3 linked regions of the Elephas maximus indicus genome follow. The protein of the gene in region 1 purifies or fractionates together with the protein of each later gene. This does not show direct contact. Links are inferred from orthologs where the notes say so. Each region holds a gene or a part of one and is shown in the gene's direction. Other genes may lie near its edges.

What was found. The genes of interacting proteins can lie anywhere in the genome.
Region 2: the proteins of DYRK1B (region 1) and DCAF7 purify together in Homo sapiens (affinity purification with mass spectrometry; 10 studies listed by BioGRID and IntAct, counting the BioPlex papers as one, with this or other methods). This does not show direct contact. The link is inferred for Elephas maximus indicus from reciprocal best matches to the Homo sapiens genes DYRK1B and DCAF7.
Region 3: the proteins of DYRK1B (region 1) and PTGES3 purify together in Homo sapiens (affinity purification with mass spectrometry; 3 studies listed by BioGRID and IntAct, with this or other methods). This does not show direct contact. The link is inferred for Elephas maximus indicus from reciprocal best matches to the Homo sapiens genes DYRK1B and PTGES3.

The regions. Positions count from the first base shown.
Region 1 is NC_064829.1:111,688,309-111,695,848, forward strand, and holds the start of DYRK1B (dual specificity tyrosine-phosphorylation-regulated kinase 1B), read left to right. Parts: upstream 1-4,525; 5' UTR 4,526-5,377; coding exon 5,378-5,456; intron 5,457-6,745; coding exon 6,746-6,909; intron 6,910-7,540. Other genes in the region: FBL (rRNA 2'-O-methyltransferase fibrillarin), read left to right, coding at 648-818, 1,486-1,618, 2,668-2,780, 3,888-4,033, 4,123-4,147.
Region 2 is NC_064837.1:54,787,021-54,794,976, forward strand, and holds the start of DCAF7 (DDB1- and CUL4-associated factor 7), read left to right. Parts: upstream 1-4,947; 5' UTR 4,948-5,176; coding exon 5,177-5,314; intron 5,315-7,956. Other genes in the region: KCNH6 (potassium voltage-gated channel subfamily H member 6), read left to right, coding at 1-140, 817-1,003, 1,358-1,642. UniProt on the Homo sapiens protein: Involved in craniofacial development. Acts upstream of the EDN1 pathway and is required for formation of the upper jaw equivalent, the palatoquadrate. The activity required for EDN1 pathway function differs between the first and second arches.
Region 3 is NC_064822.1:116,594,308-116,601,787, reverse strand, and holds the start of PTGES3 (prostaglandin E synthase 3), read left to right. Parts: upstream 1-4,471; 5' UTR 4,472-4,842; coding exon 4,843-4,844; intron 4,845-7,480. UniProt on the Homo sapiens protein: Cytosolic prostaglandin synthase that catalyzes the oxidoreduction of prostaglandin endoperoxide H2 (PGH2) to prostaglandin E2 (PGE2).

The DNA.
Region 1 (7,540 bases):
ATCCTAGTGTCCCTTGCCATTTCCTTTATGGCCAGGCGCTCTCCTGCCTCAGTGCTTCCCGCCTGCCTCCCCTCTCCCTGGAATGCTTTTCCCCAGATAGCCTGACCGGCTCCTCATCGCCTTTAGGGCTGACCCAGACACCTTCTGCACAATGCACCTTTGGCTCCCCTTTCTCGTTTTCCCCTTCCCTTGCCCTACTTCCTATACTTCATGTCTTCTTCCCGGCTTTGTCCTCTCTCCTTTTCACCTGTCACCATCTTACTGTGCCAGGTGTTTTTTTTTTTAATTTAGTTAGCTCCTTGTATACTTACTCTTTGAGAGCAGGGATCTTTGTCGTGTTCACTGTTGTATTCCCAGTGCCTAGATCAGGGGCTGGCACGCAGCACAGTAAGCGCTTGCTGAGTGGTTTTGCAGGCCTTACCAACCTGAGACAATCTCGGTATCTCTGTGTTTATCGTCTCTTGCCACCCCATCTCCCTGAGTTGTTAACTCCACAGTTGCATCTGTCATGGCCACTGCTGCATACCCACATTCATCACTTGCATAGTCATTAAACGCCCAGTCGCTTTCAAGGCCCCAGGGTAAGGGGCGTGGGGCCTCAGGGAAGAGCCCAGCACTGATTTCCATCCCCGTCTCTCCTGGTCCAGGAAGGAGACGACAAAATTGAGTACCGCGCCTGGAACCCCTTCCGCTCAAAGCTGGCAGCAGCGATCCTGGGTGGTGTGGACCAGATCCACATCAAGCCGGGGGCCAAGGTGCTTTACCTTGGAGCTGCCTCAGGCACCACTGTCTCCCACGTCTCTGACATCGTAGGCCAGGTAAGTGGTGAGGCGGGCAGAGGGAAAGGCTGCCTCCTGTTGGCACTATTGTGGAGTCAGGCATGGGCGCTTCCCCGCACTGTGCATGGAGCCAGGCCCTGCCCTCTGACAGCGCCTGTGGGTAGAAATGGCTGCTTGGATTAGATGGCCACCAAAGCCTCATTCAGCCACACTCCTGGGTTCTTAGCCTTGAAGGAAGGGGTGTGGGAGTCAGGGCAACCAGAATAAAAGGGGCCCAGAGCTGGAAGTGTAGATAATCAGATGAATTGATTGGTCTCTTTAAAAATTCATGCTCCCCCCAATCTGCTTCTCCAGTTTCTCTTGATAGAACAAGAATTCTGACGCTATTGGGCTGCATTGCAGTGTGTGGGTACAGGCTCCATCTAGAGGCCCCTGTACATCTCACTTCATGGCCTCTGCTCAGTCACATGGTTGCAGGCAGTGTAATGTCGAGCTTGGCCACTTGCTGAATAGCCCTTGAGCATTGACTTCATGCCTCTGGACCTCAGTTTACTTGTCTATAAAATGGGCACGATAACAGTAGTCATTTAATGGTAGGGTTTGATTTTGGGGGATTTGAAGAGATGCTGCATGCAGCGCGTGGGTCCCAAGTAGGAGTTCCGTAGATGAGAATTAGTATCGTTTGTTATCACTTGATTTGTCCTAGGATGGTCTGGTCTATGCAGTTGAGTTTTCCCACCGTTCTGGACGTGACCTCATCAACCTGGCCAAGAAGAGGACCAACATAATCCCTGTCATTGAGGACGCTCGGCACCCGCACAAATACCGCATGCTTATTGGTGAGGGCTCTGGCAGTGGCCCAGGTCGGGTAGGACAGGCTCTTCAAGAGCCAAGTTTTCTGGGAGAGATCATCTGAGCCCTGATTCAGATGGAGTGGACGGACAGGCCTCTTGAGTCCGCAGGAATGACAAGGGGTGAGGGAACTGGGTGAGATTGCAGAGGTGGCGGCCCAGCTTCAGGGTCTGGCCTCTCCTCTCTCTGAGCTGCCCCTCCTTGTGCTTCGCACCTCCTTCCAAAACATGGTACCTTTATACCGCCCCTCTTTGTGTATAAACATGGTGCTTTTATACTGCCCCTCACCTGTGACTAAAAGCGCCCTCCAGGGGCCTCCTTGTCTGGTGAGGTCATAACCATAAAACACCAGCTGGGCATGGACCTGACCCGGAGGGGCCTGGTGTGAATATTGACTTCGTTTAAAAAATTCAAAAGAGGTCATTGATGAGAACAATTGGGTACGTGCTTTTCCTGATTCTTCAGAGTCAGTTTTCATTACACCACCTTTTCAGTTTTTTAAGTGTTGTTTTTTCTGTTGCTGTTGTTTGTTTTAAATCACACTGGTTTAAAAACATTACTTTTTCATTCCCTTGTTCTTCTTTCTTTTCCTTTTCCACACACCCATACCATGCCCCTGTCCTGCAACTTTTCATTGACAATGCTGCAGACGCCCTTGCCTGTCAGTGTTCACCTTCACTTGCCTTTTTGATGACTTGTGTGTCCACCTCCCCTACTGCCCCAGACCCAGGAGCGTTTCAAGGGCAGTGCCAGGGTCTAACTCGTCTCTGTGCCCCCCACGCCCAGCCTGGGGCTGGTCACAGAGTAGGTGGCAACCATGGTTTACAAGAGTAGAGAATAAGTGATGTGACCGTGGGTTTTGGACCCACCTTGGGGGCACTAGGGCGGGGGGAGGGGGAGTCAGTGGCAGGGGAGTGAGACTGGAGGCAGGGAAATTGCCAGGTACCTGCTGGCAATGGGGCATAGGCCCCAGGGGGGGATGGGAAGATCTCCCTGTGGGCCCAACATTTAATAACTGCCATTCCTCTCTCCCTAGCAATGGTGGATGTGATCTTTGCTGACGTGGCCCAGCCTGACCAGACCCGGATTGTGGCTCTGAATGCCCACACCTTCCTGCGTAACGGAGGACACTTTGTGATTTCTATTAAGGTGAGAGTCTTGTGGAAGTCTAAGATGAGTGGGAGCATCCCAAGGAGTCTTCCGTGTCTGACAAGCAGCCAGTCAAAACAAAGAGGCCTGCCTCCCCTCTAATCCAGTCAGTCCATTCCCAAACTCTGTTCCTATGCTGGCTTCCCACTCCCCATGAAATAACACGTAGTATAAAAAAAAGTCCGTAAAACTAAAAGCTTTGTATTTTAAGAGGTAATAGAGTATAGTGGTCAAGGGCATGGTTGCTGAGTTTGAATCCCACCATGCTGTGTGACTTGGAGCAAGTCATTCACCTCTGTGTGCCTCTGTTTGTTCATGTGTAGAACAGAGATGTTAGTCTTATCTGTTTTAGGGCTGACGTCAGGATTAAATGTATCAGTATCTGTGAAGTGTACAGACAGAGCCTGGCGTTGAATAAACACTAGGCAAATCTAAATGTTAGGTGCATTTTTTAAAACTTTTTATTCTGAAATACAGAGAACTCTGCTGTGGACCCTTTACTTAGACTCACCATTTGTTACCCTTTTCCTGTATTTGTGTTGTTCTCAAAGCTGTATTATTACTCTTTTTTTAATGGAAGAAGGAAAAAAGCTGGGGTATAAAACTTAAAGCTGGCTTTTAGGTAAACAGGGTTTTGTTTAAAGCCTTGGGTCCAAATTCAAACAAACTACATAGCAACCCTGTAGGACAGAGTAGAACTGCCCCATAAAGTTTCCAAGGAGTGCCTGGTGGATTTGAACCACCAACCTTTTGGTTAGCAGCTGTAGCTCTTAACCACTGTGCTGCCGGGGTTTCCTAAATTTGTTATATAACGGAAATTTTCCCCACGTTTCCAAAACCCTGCCATACACCACAAAATTCAGACCGGTTGCCATTGACTCCGACTCGTGGTGACTCCACGTGTTTCAGAGTAGAACGCACTCCATGGGGTTTTCAGTGGCGGTGATCTTTTTGCTGCAGAACAGTCAGAAATGATACTGGGGTTTTGTTTGGGGCCTGATTTTACCCCGTTTCCATCGGAAACAAGTCCCTGTGGTTGAAAGAGCACAAAAAAGGGGAAACCAGCCCGCAGTCCTGCGGCGGACTCGATTCCGTCTCCTCCTGTAGGCCAACTGCATTGACTCCACAGCCTCTGCAGAGGCCGTGTTTGCTTCTGAAGTGAAGAAGATGCAGCAGGAGAACATGAAGCCCCAGGAGCAGCTGACCCTCGAGCCATACGAAAGAGACCACGCTGTGGTCGTGGGTGTGTACAGGTGAGCAGGGCCCAGTCACCCACCGGATCGTGCAGCTCAGGGCTCCGGGGGCAGGCTATGACCCCTCGTTTTCTCTCTCCCTCTCACAGGCCGCCCCCCAAAGTGAAGAACTGAAGCCCGGTGCTGTCTGCATTGTGAGATAGTGTTGTTGCTGTTGCACGTGTGTTTTTCTATTAAAAAGACTCATCCGTCACCTCAGTTGGCTGCTGGTCGCTCTGTGGCTGCCGCTGTAGACAACTTGGCGCATGCGCCCATGGTCACCTCGTTGGGGGCGGGGGCATGCTCATCTGATCACACAGCGCATGCTCCATTTCTAGCTGCCCTCTCAGGGAGCCCTGGTGCGCAGCCGTAACCCGGAATTCGGCGTTAGGTGGGGTCGGTGGCTCACTGCGCATGTCTGCGGGTAGTGCCCACTGGGCGCAGGCGCGGAGGGCTGCGCTGGTCACGTGAGGGGGAGCGGATGGGGGGGTGGGGGCGGAGTCTGGAGGGGGGCCGGTTTGTTGTGGTCGCCATTTTGCTGGTTGCATTACTGGGTAATCGGGGCCCTGGCTCGCCGCGTCCGACGGGTACCTTCAGCCAGTGGGCAGGTCTGAGCTCGGGCTTCCCGAGCAACTTGAGTCCCCTTGCCCGCGCCCTCAGGTAACGACGCAGTGACTGGCTGGGCGGCACGAGCTGGCGGGGAGGGGGAAGGGCGGGACCCGCCCTGCCCGCGTCGCCTCGAGACTGAGCACAGGGACGCGGGAGGAGGAGAGGAAGGGAGGGGGAATCGGGCTGGTGTGCCAGCCGAGCCTGGCTATTCATAGTCGGATTCCTGGAAGGGGCTGAACCGAGGGAGCAGTCTTGGAAGGGAGGTCGGGAAGGGGTGGCTGGGCCCCGCTCCCGCCCTTTGTTTGGGCTCAGCTCCGCCGGCCGCATCGTCGTCGCCTAGCAACAACTGCCCTGGGCTGTGATTGGTTGAGCTCGTAGCAGCGGTGGCCAATGGTACGGTTGTTGCCATGGCAGGGTGCGGACTGCCAAACTCAGTCTTGCCCCGCCCGCTGGGTCTCTGCAGGCGGGGCGGGCCTCTAGGGTGGGGGGCGGGACGCCAGGGTCCCCAGGGGCGGGTGGCCGCCCGGGGTGGGGTCGGCCTTGCGAGGGTTAACCCGCCCTTCCCCCCATCCACCTGCTTTCCCTTCCCCCGCGTGCCCCGAGCTGACCCTCGTCCCCTCCTCTCCCCGCCCCTGGCGGCGGCTGCTGTTGTCACCCACCGGGCCGCCTGTCCCGCTTGCCCTCCCCGCCGCGGGGCCTGCCGGGCCGCCCAGGCCAGGGACAGGCGGCCGCCTCCTCACTGCCGCCACCGCCGCCATGCTGGCCGTCCGCCCGCCTCACTGGGGGCCCCACCGCGCTCCAGCCCCCCGTGGGCCGCGCACCAGCCCTGACGCGGGTAGGGGTTGGAGGGCCCCGGGAAAGAAGTTGTTTTGGAGGGGGAACCTTTAGGGAGGGAAGCTTCAAGAGACGGGGTGTGTTCATGGAGTGGCAAGGCCTGGGATAGGAGGACACCTGACATGGTTAGACTTGGGGAGAGGGACTTTGGTTTGTCGGACCCCCTGGAACACCCTGCAGTATTTGGGGAATTGAGCTTTGGGAGTCTCCTAAGAAGGGGCATCGCTGTGGGATGACCCCAGTATAGAAAGAGGTGACAGGAGATGGGGCTCCAATGGGAACATTGGGTAGAGGGAGGATTCATTATAGAGGAGAGAAGGAAGATCATCGTAAGCCACTGGAAGAGACACCTCCTCCTTGTTCCCCTCAGGAGAGCGGGCCTTGATTGGGAGGGGGACTTTGCAGCAATGTGGGGAAGAGTTCTGATGTGGTGGGAGGAACTGGGATACGGTGTAGGGAGACTATCTGGAGGAGTGTTTCCTGATGTGGGAAGGCCTACAAGGGGAACAGATCTCAGCATGAAGTACTGAGGGTCTGCTGGGAAAGATGTGCCCTGGCGGGCTGCCACAGAGATAGGACTTTTGTGATACAGTTTCTCAGATAATCTTGGTGTGGTTGGGAGGTCTCCATAGGACCCTGATGTGGATTTGAGGGACCTGCAGAGGACACTACTGTGATTTAGGGGAACTCAGAGGACTCTGGTGTGGTTTGGGTGGACTTCAGAGTTCTCTGGATTGGGGGAGCTACTGGGAACGGTAGATCTTGTAGTGAAGGGACCTTGCTGTGATAATGGGATGAGATCCTGATGGTTGGGGAAGATTATAAGGGGGCAAGATTTTGCGGAGGGGGCCCTGGGGAGGGCCCAAGTAGAAATGGAACGAACAAACCCTACTCCCCATACTGTCTTTAGTTTCTTTTTTTTTTTTCTCTTTTCCTCCCCTCCATTATCCATGTCTTTTTGTTCTCCTTCCCTGTTGTGGCCTATACACCCCCACCACCACTCCCTGCTCTTGCATCGCTCCTCCCCGTTCCTTTTGCATGCCCTTGTCTTTGTTCCACGTCATTCACTTACTTGGTCATTTGTTGAGGGCTTCTGTTGTGTAACCCCTTTCCACCTGTCTGCTACTGCTTTCTGTCTCTTCTCTTCATCGCCACCTGTGTTCTGTGGTACCCTTTTCCTCCTCCGTTTGAGTCCCTGCCTTCTGTCTGTGCCCACCTCTTTCCTGCCTGCCACTATCCCACATATTCTCTTGTTCCATGTTGTTCCCCTGCCTCCTTGCCTTCTCCCAGGTCTCAGCGGCGGTGGCAGCCGAGGTGCAGGATGCGAGAAGGCGCCCCCCGGCCGGGCTCCCGCTCCAGGCCTCGCTCCCCTGCGGCCCTCTGAGCCCACCATGGCCGTCCCACCGGGCCATGGTCCCTTCTCTGGCTTCCCGGGGCCCCAGGAGCACCCGCAGGTACGCGTTTGGCTGGCTCCTTACCTGCCTGGGGTCGGGGATACTGGGGAGAGAAAGGTCTCAGGGCAAAAGAAACAGTATGATTGCCTGACAGTCTCCTTAGGGTGTCAGGGCCCCATTGGGAGTGAAAGTTAATAGAAGAGGCATCGGCAGAGTTAAGGTATGAAGAATTCAGTCCATGTCTTGACTTTGTAGTTAAATTACTTATGTCCCGTACACTTCAGTTTTGTCATCTGTAAAATGGGGCCGATAATGATGATATCTGTCTCACAGGGTTGTTGTGAGGATTAAACAAGTTAATGAAATGCGTGTGCGATGGTAAGAACAGTGTCTGGCACGTAGTAAATACCAAATATTCACTAAGGAAAAAAGTCCTGAGTGAAAGATCTGGAGGGAGTGGGTGGGGAGGAGGGCTGAGACTGAAGGGCTTGGGGACCATCAGGATAAAGACCTCCAAGGGTAGAGGTGGCTGAGGCTCTGGAATGTAGAGCTTGAGCAGGATGGAGTGGGAAGTCTAGGCTGCAGGACCCAGATTCAAGATCCTTGTGAAAGAACTAGGTACAGATGCTCAGTGGGGGGTAGGTGTTGGGGGAGCCCCAGTGGGTGAAGGTAAAGCAAAATGGGGGGAGGG
Region 2 (7,956 bases), on another chromosome or scaffold:
TCAGACACATCTGGCATCTGGCCTGAGTTGCTGCAGCAAGTGCCCCCAAGGCACAGCCCCCGAAACCCTCAGGGAGGCTCGGACGGTTGGCCTCGTGAGCTAGGCTCCAGGCTGGAACAGCTCCAGGCCCAGCTAAACAGGTGAGTGCCCTGAGGGCTTAGGCTGGGGGAGCTGCAGAGGGCGGGCCCAGCAGCTAGCTGGGCACGGGTGCCCCCTCCTGGTGGCTCAGTGACATCATCAGGTACCCAGTGGTTTTTAGCATGGCGGGCCCCATTTAGTGGCAGGTCTCCCCATCCGTATGTTACTAAGGACAATTCTTTGGGTGCCTTCCCTTGGAAAACCCTAGACTGTGCCAAGGAAGGCTTCTTGGGGGGTGGGGCCGCAATCATGTGCAGAAACATAAATTCCATGGGCCCTTGGAAAAGGGCATGGCCTGTGGATGGTGGGAATTTGGAGCAGGATGGTCTTGAGTTCAAATTCTGGCTCTGCAGCGCACCAGCTAGAGTATGGGCAAGTTACTTAACCACTTGGAGCCTCAGTTTGCTCTTTTGTGAAATGGGGATAATCAGAATAGCCATGTCAAAATGTCACTATGAGGACTGAACAATGTGTGCATGGGGCCTGTTCATTGTTGTTACCAGAGTCAGGGACATGCTAAGCGGAGTTTGGGCAAAGGCTGCAGATCCCAGTGGGAAATGGCTTCGAGTAGGCCCCAAGCTGCCATAACCCCAAACTGAGAGCTGGCCTCAAGCCCTGAACTGCTCTCCCCCACCCTGACCCTGACCCTGACCCTGACTGCGGGGCTCCGTCTGGCAGGCTAGAGTTCCGCATGGCCTCAGACCTCAGTCACATCCTGAAGCTCCTTCAGCAGCCTCTGCCACAGGGCCACCCCAGCTATATCCTGGGAGCCCCTGCCTCCAAGGACCTGGCCTTGTTTCCTGTGACCTCAGCAACTCCAAGACCAGGTCCCAGGCTGGCCCAGGGCCATCTGCCTCCTGCACAGGTGAGCAGGTGAGGGACCCCCAGGGGCTTTCCTGGAGGTAGCTGCTTGCTTTCCCACACCCCCAACTCGTTCCAATGTGGCTTCAGGCTCAGGGCCTCTGTGCTCCTAGAGCAGCTGTGGCTTCTGTTGTCCCCCTTTATGGCTTGAACCATGACAGGGCAGCCTGGACGGGGCAGCGGCAAAGTCCAGAAAGTGACCACAGACCCCCAGCTGGGGCAAAGGTAACAGGACCCTGTGCTGTGAAGGAGCAGGCACACCTCCAGCCAGCCCCCACCCCTGAAGTTGGGGTGGCTTAACCCATAGCCTGGCCTGGGAGGCTCTTCACACTGCATGCCTCTTTCTTGCCCCTCCCAGACCCCAGGCTGTGGTGACTTGGACCAATGTAGGCTGACGCACAGGAATGCCTCCTCCAGGATGCATCACCTGGTCGTGGCAATGGACAACCCCCTGACACCATCCTTGGAACAGGAGCAGCCCCAGGGGCTCCTGTCACCCTTGGCCTCACCTCTGTGGGACACAGACGGACAGGGACTTGTCTGTGGTCCCCGCTTCCCCTCCCTCCCTGAACACCTTGGCTCTGTCCCCAAGCAGCTGGAGTTCCAGAGATATGGCTCAGATCCTGGATTTGCAGGGTGTTAAAGCTACTGAATCCCAAGATAAAAGACACCATGAGAGGACTGAAGGTGGGTGAGAGTTGAGGATCCTCAGGGAGGCAGACAGCCTCCAAAATGGGCCTCTGAAAATCATTCCCCTAGAGTAGGTTCATACTGGTAACCCAGGTGACCCAAAAGGGCACGGTGAAGAGACTCTGGACTTTTCCCACCCTCCCCCAGGGCTCTGTTTAGACAGCAAGCCTGGTGAAGGATTGGGAGGGGGAGTGACTCTGATGTGCAGGTAACTTACAGGAGTGAGGGGTCAGTGAGGTAAAGAGAAGTTTCTGATCTGTGTGAGAGTCTTGCTCTGGGCTCGGCAGGATTATCCCTCAACTCAGAAACAGCCCCTGTACGTGGCCCAGCAACCACGGCCCAGGATCGATCAGGCCTCCTGCCGAGAGCCTCTGACCCAGCTGGAGGTGAAGGTGCCCTCTGTGGTAGACATGCCAATTCACAGAGCTCCAGCCCTCAGCTGCTTCACCCCTAACAGTTCTGTGATGACCTTTGGGCCCCTTCTGGGCAGTGGAGTGCCACACAGTTAATAAATTCGGCACATTTCCTGTTTAGCCAGGTATGTAAACTTACCTGAGGGTCATCAGGTCCTTGACTGTGCCATGACTCCAACATCTGTGGTTTTCCCCAAGCCCTTCTCACAAAGAGCTGGGGGTTCATCCTCCAAATCTACCATGTTGGGGACCTGAAGGTGGCTCCGCTGAGCCCAGGAGCCCTTGGAGCATAGCCAGGCTAGGGCGAAGGGAAGCAGAGAGGTGCTGGCTTGGTGGCCATCTGGAATCATGACAACAGCCAACACTCCCGTGGCACTCACCCCGTGCTGGGCACCACGCTGACTGCTCTGAAGATATTCATTCATCTAATTCTCCCAACAACCTTATGGGGTCAGTATAATTATTCCCATTTTAGAGATGTGGAATCAGTAATCAGAAACTTACCTGAGTATGAGGGGGACTTCTGGGTGCTGATGTTGTTCTGTTTCTTGATCTGGGTGCTGGTTACATGAATGTGTGTTCATGTCGTTAAAAAATATGTACACTTCTATGTGTAAATTATACTTCAATTAAAAAATAAAAAGAATCTTGCCCAACACAGTAGGAAAAGGAGGACATAACTTCAACCCAAGGAGCAGCAGCCCTGGTGGCACAGTAGTTAAGTGCTCAGCTGCTAATTGAAAAGTTGGCAGTTTGAACCAACCCATCTGCTCCACGGGAGAAAGACTTGGTGATCTGCTCTTATAAAGATTAACAACAATAACAAACCTGTTGCTGTCGAGTTGATTCCAACTCATAGCCACCCTGCAGGACAGAGTACAACTGCCTCATAGGGTTTCCAAGGCTGTAATCTTTACCGAAGAAGACTGCCACATTTTTCTCCTGAAGAGCAGCTAGTGAGTTCAAACTACTGACCTTTCAGGGGCCGAGCACTTTAACCACTGTGCCACCAGGCTGTCCTACTATGTCACATGGGGTCGTTATGAGTAGAAAATCAACTTGATGGCACCTAAATTTTTTAACAAAACAATTTCAACCCAGATAGTCTGGCCTGACAGCCTGTGCAGTTAGCTGCAAAGGGCTATTGTTCAAAAAGGTCCTCATCACTGGTCTTCAGTTATTTTGCACAAATATTCTCTAAAGGAAATCTGACATCTTTTGAAGTTGACATCTGAATTGTTTCATTGGTAAGTTTAAATTGTCGCAAAGGATGTAATTTCCATTGGGTTGTAAATATTGACACAACTGTACTGTTTTGTCCCTCATTTATATTGATCCATTTGCATCCAAATAGCTTAGTGACTTGAGAGCCACCATGGGCCATTTTAAAGACACAAGAACAAACCTTCTTCAACATCATTCCTTTTTCTCTTCAAACTCGTAATTCCATTCTAGCCACCATCCCCATTTTATGCACCATGTAATTTATTTTCATGCTTCAAAGTCTATTATTGAGCATCCTATCATATCTGCTTGCAACACAAATATGTATATAAACTGAAATTTTAAAATTAAATTTTGTAAACTTACTAAGGCTTTATTAGTAGTACCGAGTTGTTTAAAACAACAAATATATATTCACATTTTTATAAAAATTAACATTTTATTGGAAATGCACCTCTTAAAGAGATTGCATGGGGATTTTTTCCCCCAATTAGTTAGTTCATTTATCTGTGGATGAATATCATTTTTTAAGAGGATAAGACAAAGTTCAGCAACAGTTTTGTTTGTATTTTTCTTTTTTTTATTAAACTTAAGCACAGAGAAAACTTGCTCACACAAATAAGATGGGACTGGAAGGGATTTATTAAAACGTCACTTAATTCTTTCAATTCTTTCCAAGTTGTCTGTTAAAAATCACATCGACCATTAAAAATTATATTTAATGATATCATCTAACAATCCACTACAATCCTTCAATTTTGTTGAAAGCAAAGAATTGGAAACCATGTAAAGTATAAAAAGTTGTTACCCAGATTCGAGACCTGCATTTTCTCCATTTCAAACTCACAGCGCAGATAAATTTAAGGCTTGATTGACATACGCCTTGGGATGCGCTGCGGGGAAGGGATGGGCATAGACAGAAGCTTAGAGCCAAGCTGGTCACGTTGCTGCTAATTGAGGACCAACCGGAGAATTCAATTCGGAGATTTTTCTGGAATTGCAGGAAAGCGCAGGCAGGCCTCACTGAACCCGGCGTGGTCCTAACTAAGCCATCGGTCGGTCTGCAAAAGGCGTGCCGGAGGCCTTTCCTTTAGACACTGGGAAAACGCTGCCCGGGTTCAAAGGGGCGTTGGGACGAGTGGGAAGGGAGGGTGACTCCTGTTTGGCGCGGGCCAAGCTGCCTGGCCGCAAGGCCCCCCCATTATTGCAGAATTTTAATTTTACTCGACAGCTTGGGGAGGCCGCTCAGAATAGAAGCAGCAGAGGGGAGGTCAGAGCAGGTCACGCAAGAGGTTTCATTCTCAGAGACTTGACCTAGAACTTGGAGACCTGCTGCCCGGCACGTTGAACTCTATATCACCCACGCCCCCATTCACCAGCAGTGCACCGTTATCTCTCGGACTGACATTTGTACCAGCCAATGGCCTTCGGGTCTGCGAAAGCCCCGCCCCATGATTGGGAGGGGCGAGAAATTGGAGTGACGTAGTGAGGAGGTGTCAAAACCTCCGGGCACAATAACCAATCAGGCGAAGGAACTGTTCGAAAGGACGTGTCAGGCAGCCAACGGCCGGCGACGCTGCGCGGGTCGCGTGGCTTCCGTTCCGAGTGGGCGGGGCGGTGTCCCAAACGGAAGGTGGTTTTTGTCGGTGCCGAAGCTGGTTTGAAAGTGGGGGTCGGGCCAGGCCGCCGTTGTCTGTCGCCGCGGCCCCGCTTCCGGGCTAGGCTGTCCCTGCCTGCCCCGCCTCCCTTCAGACCCCTCGGTCCCAGGCTCGGCTCCCCGCCCAACTCGCGCCCCGCCCGCTGCCTCCGACTGCGGACCCGGCCCGCACTGCGGCCCAGCCGCCGCCACCATGTCCCTGCACGGCAAACGGAAGGAGATCTACAAGTATGAAGCGCCCTGGACGGTCTACGCCATGAACTGGAGCGTGCGGCCCGACAAGCGCTTTCGCCTGGCGCTGGGCAGCTTCGTGGAGGAGTACAACAACAAGGTGGGCCGGGCAGGGGCTCGGAGCCCAGCTGGCGGGGAGCGGGCCCCGGGAGCGCCCTTTCCGGGCCGGAGCCCAGACCCCAGAGCCCTCCTGCGGACTTGCCTTGGCGTCCTGGAGCGGTTCCTGTGTGTCTTGCCCGGTGCTGAGGGTTTTGCACTCGTTGTCTCATTTAATCCTGGCAGATTCCCGTGTAGTCGGGAGTGTAGTTACCTCCGTTTTACTGATGGGGAAACTGAAGCACAATATCGTGACTTGCTGAGCTAGGCAGCTATTTCATGGCCGAAACAGATCTGAAACCCGAGCTTCCACGCCAAGGCTACACCGTTTATCTTTTTCAACCGCCTCCCCTCCTGCCGCATTGCTTCAGTTTGGGGGGCGGGGGTGGGAGGAATTAATGGCTGTGAGGGAAAATGCAGGCATTAGAGTTGGTAGCCCTTCACTTCTGGCACAGACTTCCCCCTCCCCCCACTCCCATCCCCAGATACTATTCATGGTTCCCCTGGCCCTTCTGCCAGGAGTGCCATCGCTATTGCTGCCTGATAGCCATTCCTTCCAAAGCGATGTCTTTTTGAAAGTCTTGGCCCATGGCCATGATCCCGTCATTGTTTCCTAAATAGAGAAGGATGACACTTTGCCTTATCTTTCCTTGGCTCCTTTCCTGCTAATACAGATGTGTAACCTTGAGTAGTAAGTCTTTCTGGGCATCCATCAATTTGAGAGTCCTTCATAGAAGCGTTGGTAGTAGGGGAAGCTTTTACGCTGGCAGTGCAGCATACGTTTATTTTCTGAAGTTGTTGAATAAGGAATTTTCTTTCCTTTATTCTTTAAGCTCTTCCTTTTATTGTATCAGAGTAAAAGTTGTGATTGATAGTGATCAGAGCAACTGAAAGCCTTGGCTGTTGATATTTAGAGCCAGAGCTCCCGCTTAAACCATGAACACCAGAAAACTAAAATTATGTGGAGAGTGACAGGCATGGCGCAGAGGGAAAAAGTCACGCTGTCTAGGGTCAGGTCCTGTCTGGTCCCTTGATTAGCTGTGGGGCATTGCACAGGGCAGTTGTATTTCTGACCCACAGTTTGTTGTAGGAAGGAGGTTTCTTTTTACATGTGATGGTCTTGTAGAAAGCATTTGAAATGTTTATATTTCTTTTGTGTGTAGTTTTTCAGGAGCACATCTGTTTCTTTAGAGTAGGTCGTAACTACTTGGGAGTCCCCTTTGAGAAAACGTTGAAAACAATGGACTTTGCTCAGATATTGCACGTGAACAATTTACAAATCTCAAGGAGTACAAACTGATCTCGAAGCCCACCCACTGGCCACAGAAAACGGAGAATCGGGAGCAAGACATAGCTTTATTTCCTTTTCTCTGGTGATTTTTATTCCTTATGGAGCATAGTGGATGGCAGAGCTGGAAAAGGAATTTAAAGCCCTGGTGTGGAAACCAGATTATTAAAATTAAGACCACTAGAACTATTGTTAAGGGTACATGTTAAAAAAAAAAAGAGGTAAAATATGACTTCCAAAGGGCATATGAGTCTTTTCACACAAATTGATAATTTTTTTCTTGCAAGTATTTCCAGGGTTAATTTGGGTAAGAAGTCATAGTCTCATTTCTAAGAGAGGGAAAACTGAGTCACAGTTAGGTTACCAAAGAATCTGTGGAATAATTGGTGTTAAATCTCGGTTTTGGGAACTCTGCCCCCACATTCGGCCTTCCATTCAGCAACCGTATGGAGCTCCTTCTTTGTGTTGGGCACACAAGCAATGTTGCCTTAGTAGTAAAATGCAAACTAATAATCCCAGTAGTAACAGAATAAGCAGTTGACTGTGTTTTAACTCTGAGTCCCTGAGTGGGACAAACAATGCATTCAGCTGCTATTAGTGGTTGGAGTCTGGCAACGTGGGGTCGTCATGAATCAGAGCCGACTCGCTAGTAACTGGTTTGGTTTTTTGGCTTTATATTTGAACTCATTTATGTGATGTAGGCATATTATGGAAACCCTGGTGGTGTAGTGGTTAAGTGCTACAGCTGCTAACCCAAGGGTCGGCAGTTCAAATCTGCCAGGTGCTCTTTGGAAACTCTACGGGGCAGTTCTACTCTGTCCTATAGGGTCACTAGGAGTCGGAATTGACTTGACGGCAGTGGGTTTGGTTTTTTTGGGTTTTTCTAGGCAAATTATTTTTGTGTCTCCATCTATCTGTAGTTCAGGGTTCTTAGCTTTTGTGTGTGTGTGTTGTGTATGTGTGTGCCATGGACACCTTTGACGATCTAAAGTCTATAGCCTGCTTCTCAGAATGATGTTTTCAAATGCGTAAACATATATAGGATTACAAAGGAAGCCAATTATATTGAACTATAGTTATCAAAACTTTTGAAAAGTGGTGATAAAGTAATATGTGCTTTTAAATTAACTCATTAAATTGTATCATCTAGTGTAATTGTTATTGTAATTTTGAAATGGTTATGAAGGTAAACAACTTTTCATAATATATTTCACAAATATAATGTGATATGAAAAAATCAATGATTTCTATTGGTGACAAAGTCACGGATATTGCTAATGCTGCTGTGGGTGACTGCCTCCATTTGTAATTAAAAGAAATGCTTAATTTCAGCTAGAGATTGATGAAAATATAATTTT
Region 3 (7,480 bases), on another chromosome or scaffold:
CGGGGACACTGAAAAATTATTTCAATAGCTAAATATCAGGGGAGGAAAAAAAAAGCACCCTTAACTTCGAAACTAGTCCTATGTCTTCCTTATTCCATTATACACTCAGTTATCCTGCAAGGTGAACCAAACGGTATTGCTAATATTCCTCCCAAATCTGATATCTGAATGTATACGTAGCTTTCTTCTGATCACTTCCTAACCCTGAACGGACACAATGAAGTATTTATGGCAAACAGTTATCCAAAACTGCAACATATTCTCTTCCATAAAATTAAAACTGCATTACCTGATATCTTCTGATTTCAGAGGCTCTAGTTATAAACATTTATCACTCTTTTACAGTCTTATTTTCTGGTGTACACACACACAGAGACCATAAGGTGATGTTTGGGGCCAAAGACCATTTTTTGTAGGTTTCAGTGTATTTTTTTAAATCTAAATTTGCTTTTTAAAGTCTTTTCCTTCCCCTAGAGCTGTTCATGCTGATGCCACCCCACAATTAGAGACCCTGGTAGCATCAAATCAAAGCTCAGAACATGATAAATCTCAACACAAGACACAGTAGCCCTTTTCATTACTACCAAAACAGCTTGATAGGGTATGTTTTAAATTGTGGGCAGATAATGGTGGCACCAGAGGATATAATTTAAGGGGCTATCCGTGCTGTTTCCATTTAGCTAAGCCATGATATCCCCTTTAAGCTGTATGGCCAACTTCTTATTCCCTATACCCAGAAGACAGTCTTACCACTTTGTTTCCTCCCTCTTTGGTTTACAAAGTTAACAGTCTCCAAGGTCTGGTCTTATTAGAAAACCTCTTCATAAAGCTATTCTCACCATTTTTTAAATTTCTCATGTCAATCCACAAAATTCTCTTTAGCTATTAGTGACTCTGGACACATATTTAAATTCTATCCTCAGGGAGAACTCGGATGCTGCAATTATAATTGACAAAATGTTTCTAAATTCATTTCACAATTTTTTTAAACTGGTCTGAAAATTTTTCTCTTAGCCTGTTAGGACTAAATTTGTGAAGCAGAATCTAATACTTGCCAAGTATTTTCTAGTTTCTACCAATCTAGGCTGCAGATTTCTCTCCCTAAAGTCCTGACACTGTAATAATGCCAAGTTTGAACCTAGAATTTGCTGCCTACTACAAAAGAACTTGTTAGTGAATTTGGAAAAGAAACCTGATACAATTTAGGTTCCCAGTGGTTAACTGGTTACGATAACAGAAATTCCTTAAAATATATTTAGCAATGAATGACACAGGGGAACAAATTAGAGGGGGGGGGGAAGAAAATATACTATGAATTAGGATGTGTTAGGTCTGCATTTTCAAAAATTTGTTATGTGAAAGGCAGTTTTGCCCACAGTACTTTTCTGTGTGTGTGTGGTAAAATTATATGTAACCAAACATCTGGCATTTCAACATTTTTTTACTTGTATAGTTCAGTGACATTATGTTCATCATGTTGTACAACTATCATCACTGTTTTCAAACTAGCATTTCTTTTGATAAAGGAACTTGCCAGTAATTTGGGGTTGGTGTCTTCTGCTAGCTTCAATTCAGTTCCTTCATATTCAGTTCCTCTCATACTTTGTTACCAAATTAATCTTTCTAGAACACAAGAGTACTCATCTACTCAAAAAAAACAACAGGTTTCCATTGTCAGAGAAATAAATTGAAAACAATTAGCCTGATATTCAGTGACACCATTACCTGGTTGTGACCTACCTTCTTAACCCTATCTTGAATTATTCCCCTACACTCTGGACTACCTAAACCAGGGGTTGGCAGACTATATATAGCCTGCAGATCAAATCCAGGCCGTTGTCAGTTTCTGTATGGTCTATGAGCTAAGAGTGGTTTTTAAATTTTTAAATGGTTAAAATAAATGAAAAGAATATCTTGTAACGTGAAAATTATAATTTACATTTTAGCATCCTTCATTTTATTGGAACACAGTCACACTCATTTGTTTACATACTGTCTATGGTTAATTTTGTATTACAATAGCAGAGATGAGACCTTGTGGCAGAGATAGTATGGAATTATTTGGCCCATTACAGAAAAATTTGCTGGCCCCTGACCTAGACATACTTCTGTTTCTACCTCTTAACCTATCAAGATTCCTGCCTGAAATGTGCTGTTGTTGTTGTTGTTGCCATCTAGTCGATTGTGACTCATGGCAATCCCACGTGTGCAGAGTAGAGCTGCTCCATAGAAGTCTCAAGGCTGTAACCTTTTGGAAGCAGATAGCCAGGCCTATCTTCCAAGGTGCCTCCTGGTGGGTTCAAACCGCCAACCTTTCTGCTAGTAGTTGACTGTTTAACCGTTTGCAACAGCCAGGGACTCCCTGGAACGTATAAAGTCACCCATTCCTGCTGTCACCTCCATGAGACTGTCTAAGTAGAATTTCAAAAAAATTAAAAAACATAACTCTTCCCCAAATATAAGTTAACATGAGCCAAATATTTAACTCATTGACAGACCCAGTAAGATGATAAAGTTTGTTCCAGGAGCATTTAAAGAACTAGGGACTTATAGGTATAAAAAGAAACGGAGCTAGATCAAGGGGCTAGGTTAAACAAGGCTGGTGAGTGTCCTAAAGAGCAATAAAACCTAACTTCAGGGTTACGTTTTCTATTAGAAATCTACAAGTAACTTCACAATGTCTGAGCTTGAATCGTACAACAGCAAAGTCAAACACAAGTACCTTCACCTAGATTATTACATACTCTTTGGGCAGGCAGGTTAAATAATGTCCTGGTATGAACTAAGAGGCCATCCCTCCACCCTTTGCCTTATTTCCAAATTTTGAGCAAATTTTTCTTAACAATGTCTGTCCTAATCCTTTCAGCCAAAGTCAACCTCTCCTTGTTTTGTTTCCATTACTTTTTGTACTTCCATTATATATCGGTTGCCCTTAAGGAGCCCTGGTGGCACAGTGGTTAAACACTTGGCTGCTAACCTAAAGGTTAGTGGTTTGAGCCCACCAGCCCGGGAGAAAGATTTACAGCCTTGGAAACCTTATGGGGTAGTTCTACTCTCTCTCATAGGGTCACTATGAGTTGGAATAGACCCCATGGCACATAATAGTTACCCTTGTGTCCTATTTGACTCATGGTGACCTCAAGGTAGTCAGAGAACTGTTTTCAATGGCTGATTTTTCAGAAGTTCATCACCAGGTCTTTCTTCCCAGGAGCCTGAGTGGACTCCAACCAACAACCTTTCCAGTTAACAGTCAAGAGCCTTAATCCTTTCCACCATCCAAGTACTCCATTTCCATAATAGTACTTAATAATCTTGATTTGTGCATTTTGTCTTCCCCAACAACCATTAGAACGACTTAGAATCATTATTTAAGATCTGGGATTTAACTTTTTAAATGAGATTTGAGGATAGGGTCCAACTTCCATAGTTCCAATACCTGCTTTGCACAATGTAGACACTTTATACCTTATTCATAGATATGAAGCCCCTAAACACTTTCCAAGCGTTGTATGGCACTTTCCTTAAACTTCCCTTGTGTTCTAACCTTACTCCACTGTTAAGTGACCTCTTAGCATGTACTGTTTTAATAGTTTTATCCTCCTTTAGAGCCTGACCCATTGTCTTTTCGAAAGCGGCGGCTCAAGAAATGCCGACTAAAACACTGATGGAGGTTCGTTCCCTCCCCCCCGCCCAATTTATATACCTGGAAACACCGAAACTGTCCGTCTCTCCAGTCCCAGAAACCTAGACTCTCCCCTCAAATATCCATCCTGTTTCACCTGCAGCACTCCTATCTCAAAAAAAAACAAAAAAAAAACTTGTCATCCAATCGATTCCAACTGATAGTGACCCTATAGGACAAAGTAGAACTGCCCCCCAGTTTTCGAAAGAGCCGCTGGTGGATCCCAACCAACGACCTTTTGGTTAGCAGCCAATCTCTTAACCACTGCGACACCAGGGCTCCTCAAAGTAGGAGTAAATCCCGCCCCAAATGGCAAGCAGTCCCCCTCACCCAAAGACCTCAAATTTCCCTTGCCCCCGGACATGGCCTCCTCCCTTCAAAAAATGGCGAGGTGAACTCAGGCCCTCAATTCTTAAGTTAGCCCTTTTCGGCAAGTACCACCACCCAGCAGCACAGGCTTTTCATATCCTTCTTTGCCGTGGAATATTTCCTCAGTCGCTGGTTATTTCCTCAAGAGTGACCAATTCCCCATTTCACTTCTCACGCCTCCCGATTCTTTGCGTCCCTCCACCTCAGCCTTTCTCCCACGGCCACTGAAGCCGTTTCTCAGGGAAATCGCCAAAGGCGCGTGGCCAGGCGGTTAGTCCGCCAACGGTTTTTTACGGTGAGGTGAGCGCGCGGGAGGAGAGGCGGGAACGACTGCCACCGGGGTACAGGATGAAAGGCGGGGCTGGCGCCGGGAAGGAACGTGGAGGAGCTGGGAGGCTCCGCCTTTTCCGTAGATATCTCTAGAAAGCCGCGCCGGAGCCCGAAAACAAGGACTGCGCACGCGCGGCGGCAGGGCCCGGGTATTTTGCTGCGTCACCAGCCGCCGCCCGGCCTCACCACCCCTCGCTTGCACGCACGCACGTTCATTCTCTGTCCTCGCGCCCCTTTTCCTACACTTTCCTCCTCTCTCCGACCGGAGGAGCCGCTCTCTCCGCGCGTTGCATTCTGGGGACCCAGGCCGAGCCCGCTGCGACCGCCGCCGCCGTCGTCTGAAGGAAGCGAAAGGAGGCCACGACCGGGGAGAAAATCCCGGAGTCGCCACCCTAGAGGAGTCAATTCCCCAGCAGCTGCCGCCAGAGAGGCCCGCCCACCTGTCCCCTGCCCCGTTCACAATGTGAGTGCGACACCCCGCCAAGCGAAGGTCGGCTCAGAGGGAGGCCGAGGCCACGCCGGTGGCTGCCGGGAAGCTGGCCCCTACTCCCCCCCCCCTTCGCTCCTCTGCTTGCATGCTTCCCTCTGTGGTGGCAGTCGTTCCTGCCTGGGGATGGGAGGTCTAGTGTCCTTGTTCCGGTTACTGTTTGCGGGTGGAGGATATTTTTCTTCCACATGGCCGCTTTTCTCCCCTCTAAACCTCCCTCAGCGCCCCGGTGCTGGAAAATTTCAGTTTCCCTCCCTTTCGCGCTCTGGGTTACCCGTAACTCTGCGTAATTTAGCTTTAGGCCTTAATCTGTGAGCTTTTGGCCATGCGGACGCTCTGGAGGCGTGGACTATCGTGGGTTGCCACTTTGCTTCTTGGGCAGTCTGGTTCTACTGCTCCGTGATGCCAGGACCAGGCCCTGGGCCAAATGCACCTGTGGTGGGTGCGACCAGAACACTGATGGTGCTCGCTGGTGGAGCACCATGCGGCCCTCCGCCGTGAGCGACTGGTACTGCTAGGCAACTAGAGACCACGCCGTCACCACGACTTACTTCCCTCTCGGGCGTCTTGATTTGTTGAGTATGGGTCCTTCGGGCCTTCTCCTAACTCCAGTCTCTTGAAAGGAATGAAAGTTGCCAAAACTCAGCCGTGTTCCTGGCAGCGAGGAGTTAAACTATTAAGCAGGTAGTTTTGCACGTGTCGAACCGAAAGATATTTGTGGGCATTTTCCATGTTTCACATTAAAACTTCAGAAGAAGTATCATTATGGTACCACAATTTAAGTAAAGATTAAATAGGTATGTAATTGCTTTCTTGTTTAAATTTTTGTTTATATGCAGGTGACTACAGATTTTTTATGTATCTTAGTTTTCTTATAACAAAAGCTTGGTGATTTTAACCAAGTAAGAATTCTTGGTACTGCCACTTCTAGACCATACATTGTTAGGAAAAAGTGTACCTTTTCAGATGTAAGAACTGCCGATTTTGTAGAGTTTTTGTTACTAACTGACCCAAAAAGTGATATATGGAGAACAAAAAACTGGAACCATTTTTATTCCTATGAAAAAATGACACTTTGTGGCCCAAAATTTTTTTTTTAATTTATAGATTATTTTTTAAAATAAGGGTACGTATTGAACACAAAATAACGTTGAATTTTTAAGTTTTACTCAGTAACACAGTGATCTTGATGGTGAGTATATTGGGCCAGAAATCTAAATGTGTAAATGAGGGATATGCTATAGCCAATTGATGACTGAGAACAAGCCTCAATAATAAAGCATGTATTTTCTTGTGAGAATATATTAGAATTTTGGAGAATTTTTTTTCTCCCACAGAAGTGGCATCTAATGGAAGATTTGAATCTATATAAAACAGGTTTTACTTTTCCCTTTGAAATCTTCGTTCTAAATAATGTGTCAGTCTGGAAGATAGAGTAGGATTAATACTAAATTTGATGTGGAGTTCTTGTCCATCCTAATTGAATTCAGGGAAGTATGTATTAAACTTCCCAAAATGTTTGTTTATAAATCGAGAACTGTAAGCTTTATATTTTTTGTTGAAATCTTCCCATTACTCCCCTTAAGTTTCCCCTAGTCAGTAGTTGTTACTGAAGAGGTTAAGCCTTGTATACTTTGGGAATTCTTAGTAGAGGAGAAAATTGTCAGATAAAAGTACCAATTTTTTTTTTTAACAATGTAGCCAAGTAAAAATCTTTTCATGAAGAAATAACGTGTTTAAAATAAAACACTTTTTGGAGATCGCATAATGTGGTTTAATAAGTAATGAAACTTAAGGCTATGTAGATATGTAAAAACTCAGATGAAAAGTGTAGCAAACTTGCAAAAAAGCAGTGGATAGGCTATACTTACAAGACTCTACCTTTTCTTTGGTTCCTTTGAGGGAACCAGGTAAATTTCATCCTCTTTAAATTGTTTGTTCAATATGTGCCATCTTGTAAGTTCTTCTGGAGATCTTGTTGAACTTAAGTGAGCTATTTGAGTTGGAAGAGACCTTTGATTGGGTCATCTAGTCCTAGGAACAGTCTGGCTGATAAGGGTTCATTTTGTCGATGCCTGTAATAAACTATTTTTTAATGTGGAGAGACGTTTATGCTGGATGTCTTAAGGATTTTGGGTGTTTTTCCTGTATTTGAAAGCTTTTTATTAGTGATTTCCCAGTTAAGATTCTTTAAGCCTTAATCACGTTATAAAAGTTTTGTCAAGTGACTTAGAAAGGAGCGCTGGATCTATCCTACTTAAAGGAGAGTGGGAATTTAGCACTTCCCACCTGCATTTGGGAAACCCTGGTGGCATAATGGTTACAAGTTTGGCTGCTAACCAAAAGGGCAGCAGTTCGAATCCACCAGGCACTCCTTGGGAACCCTATGGAACAGTTCTGCTTTGTCCTAAAGTGTCTCTGTGAGTCAGAACCAACTCTGGCGGTGGGTTTGGTTTGGTTCTCCCGCCTTTAATACTTACCCAAACCTAATCTTGCAGGGTGTGGGTAGGTTGTCTAGAAACAACAGTGACTGTTTTGAACGTTGGTTAAAATCTTAACTTTGCCATTACATAGCTTTCATGGAATTGATCAGTCTTCAGCTTCCAAAACAA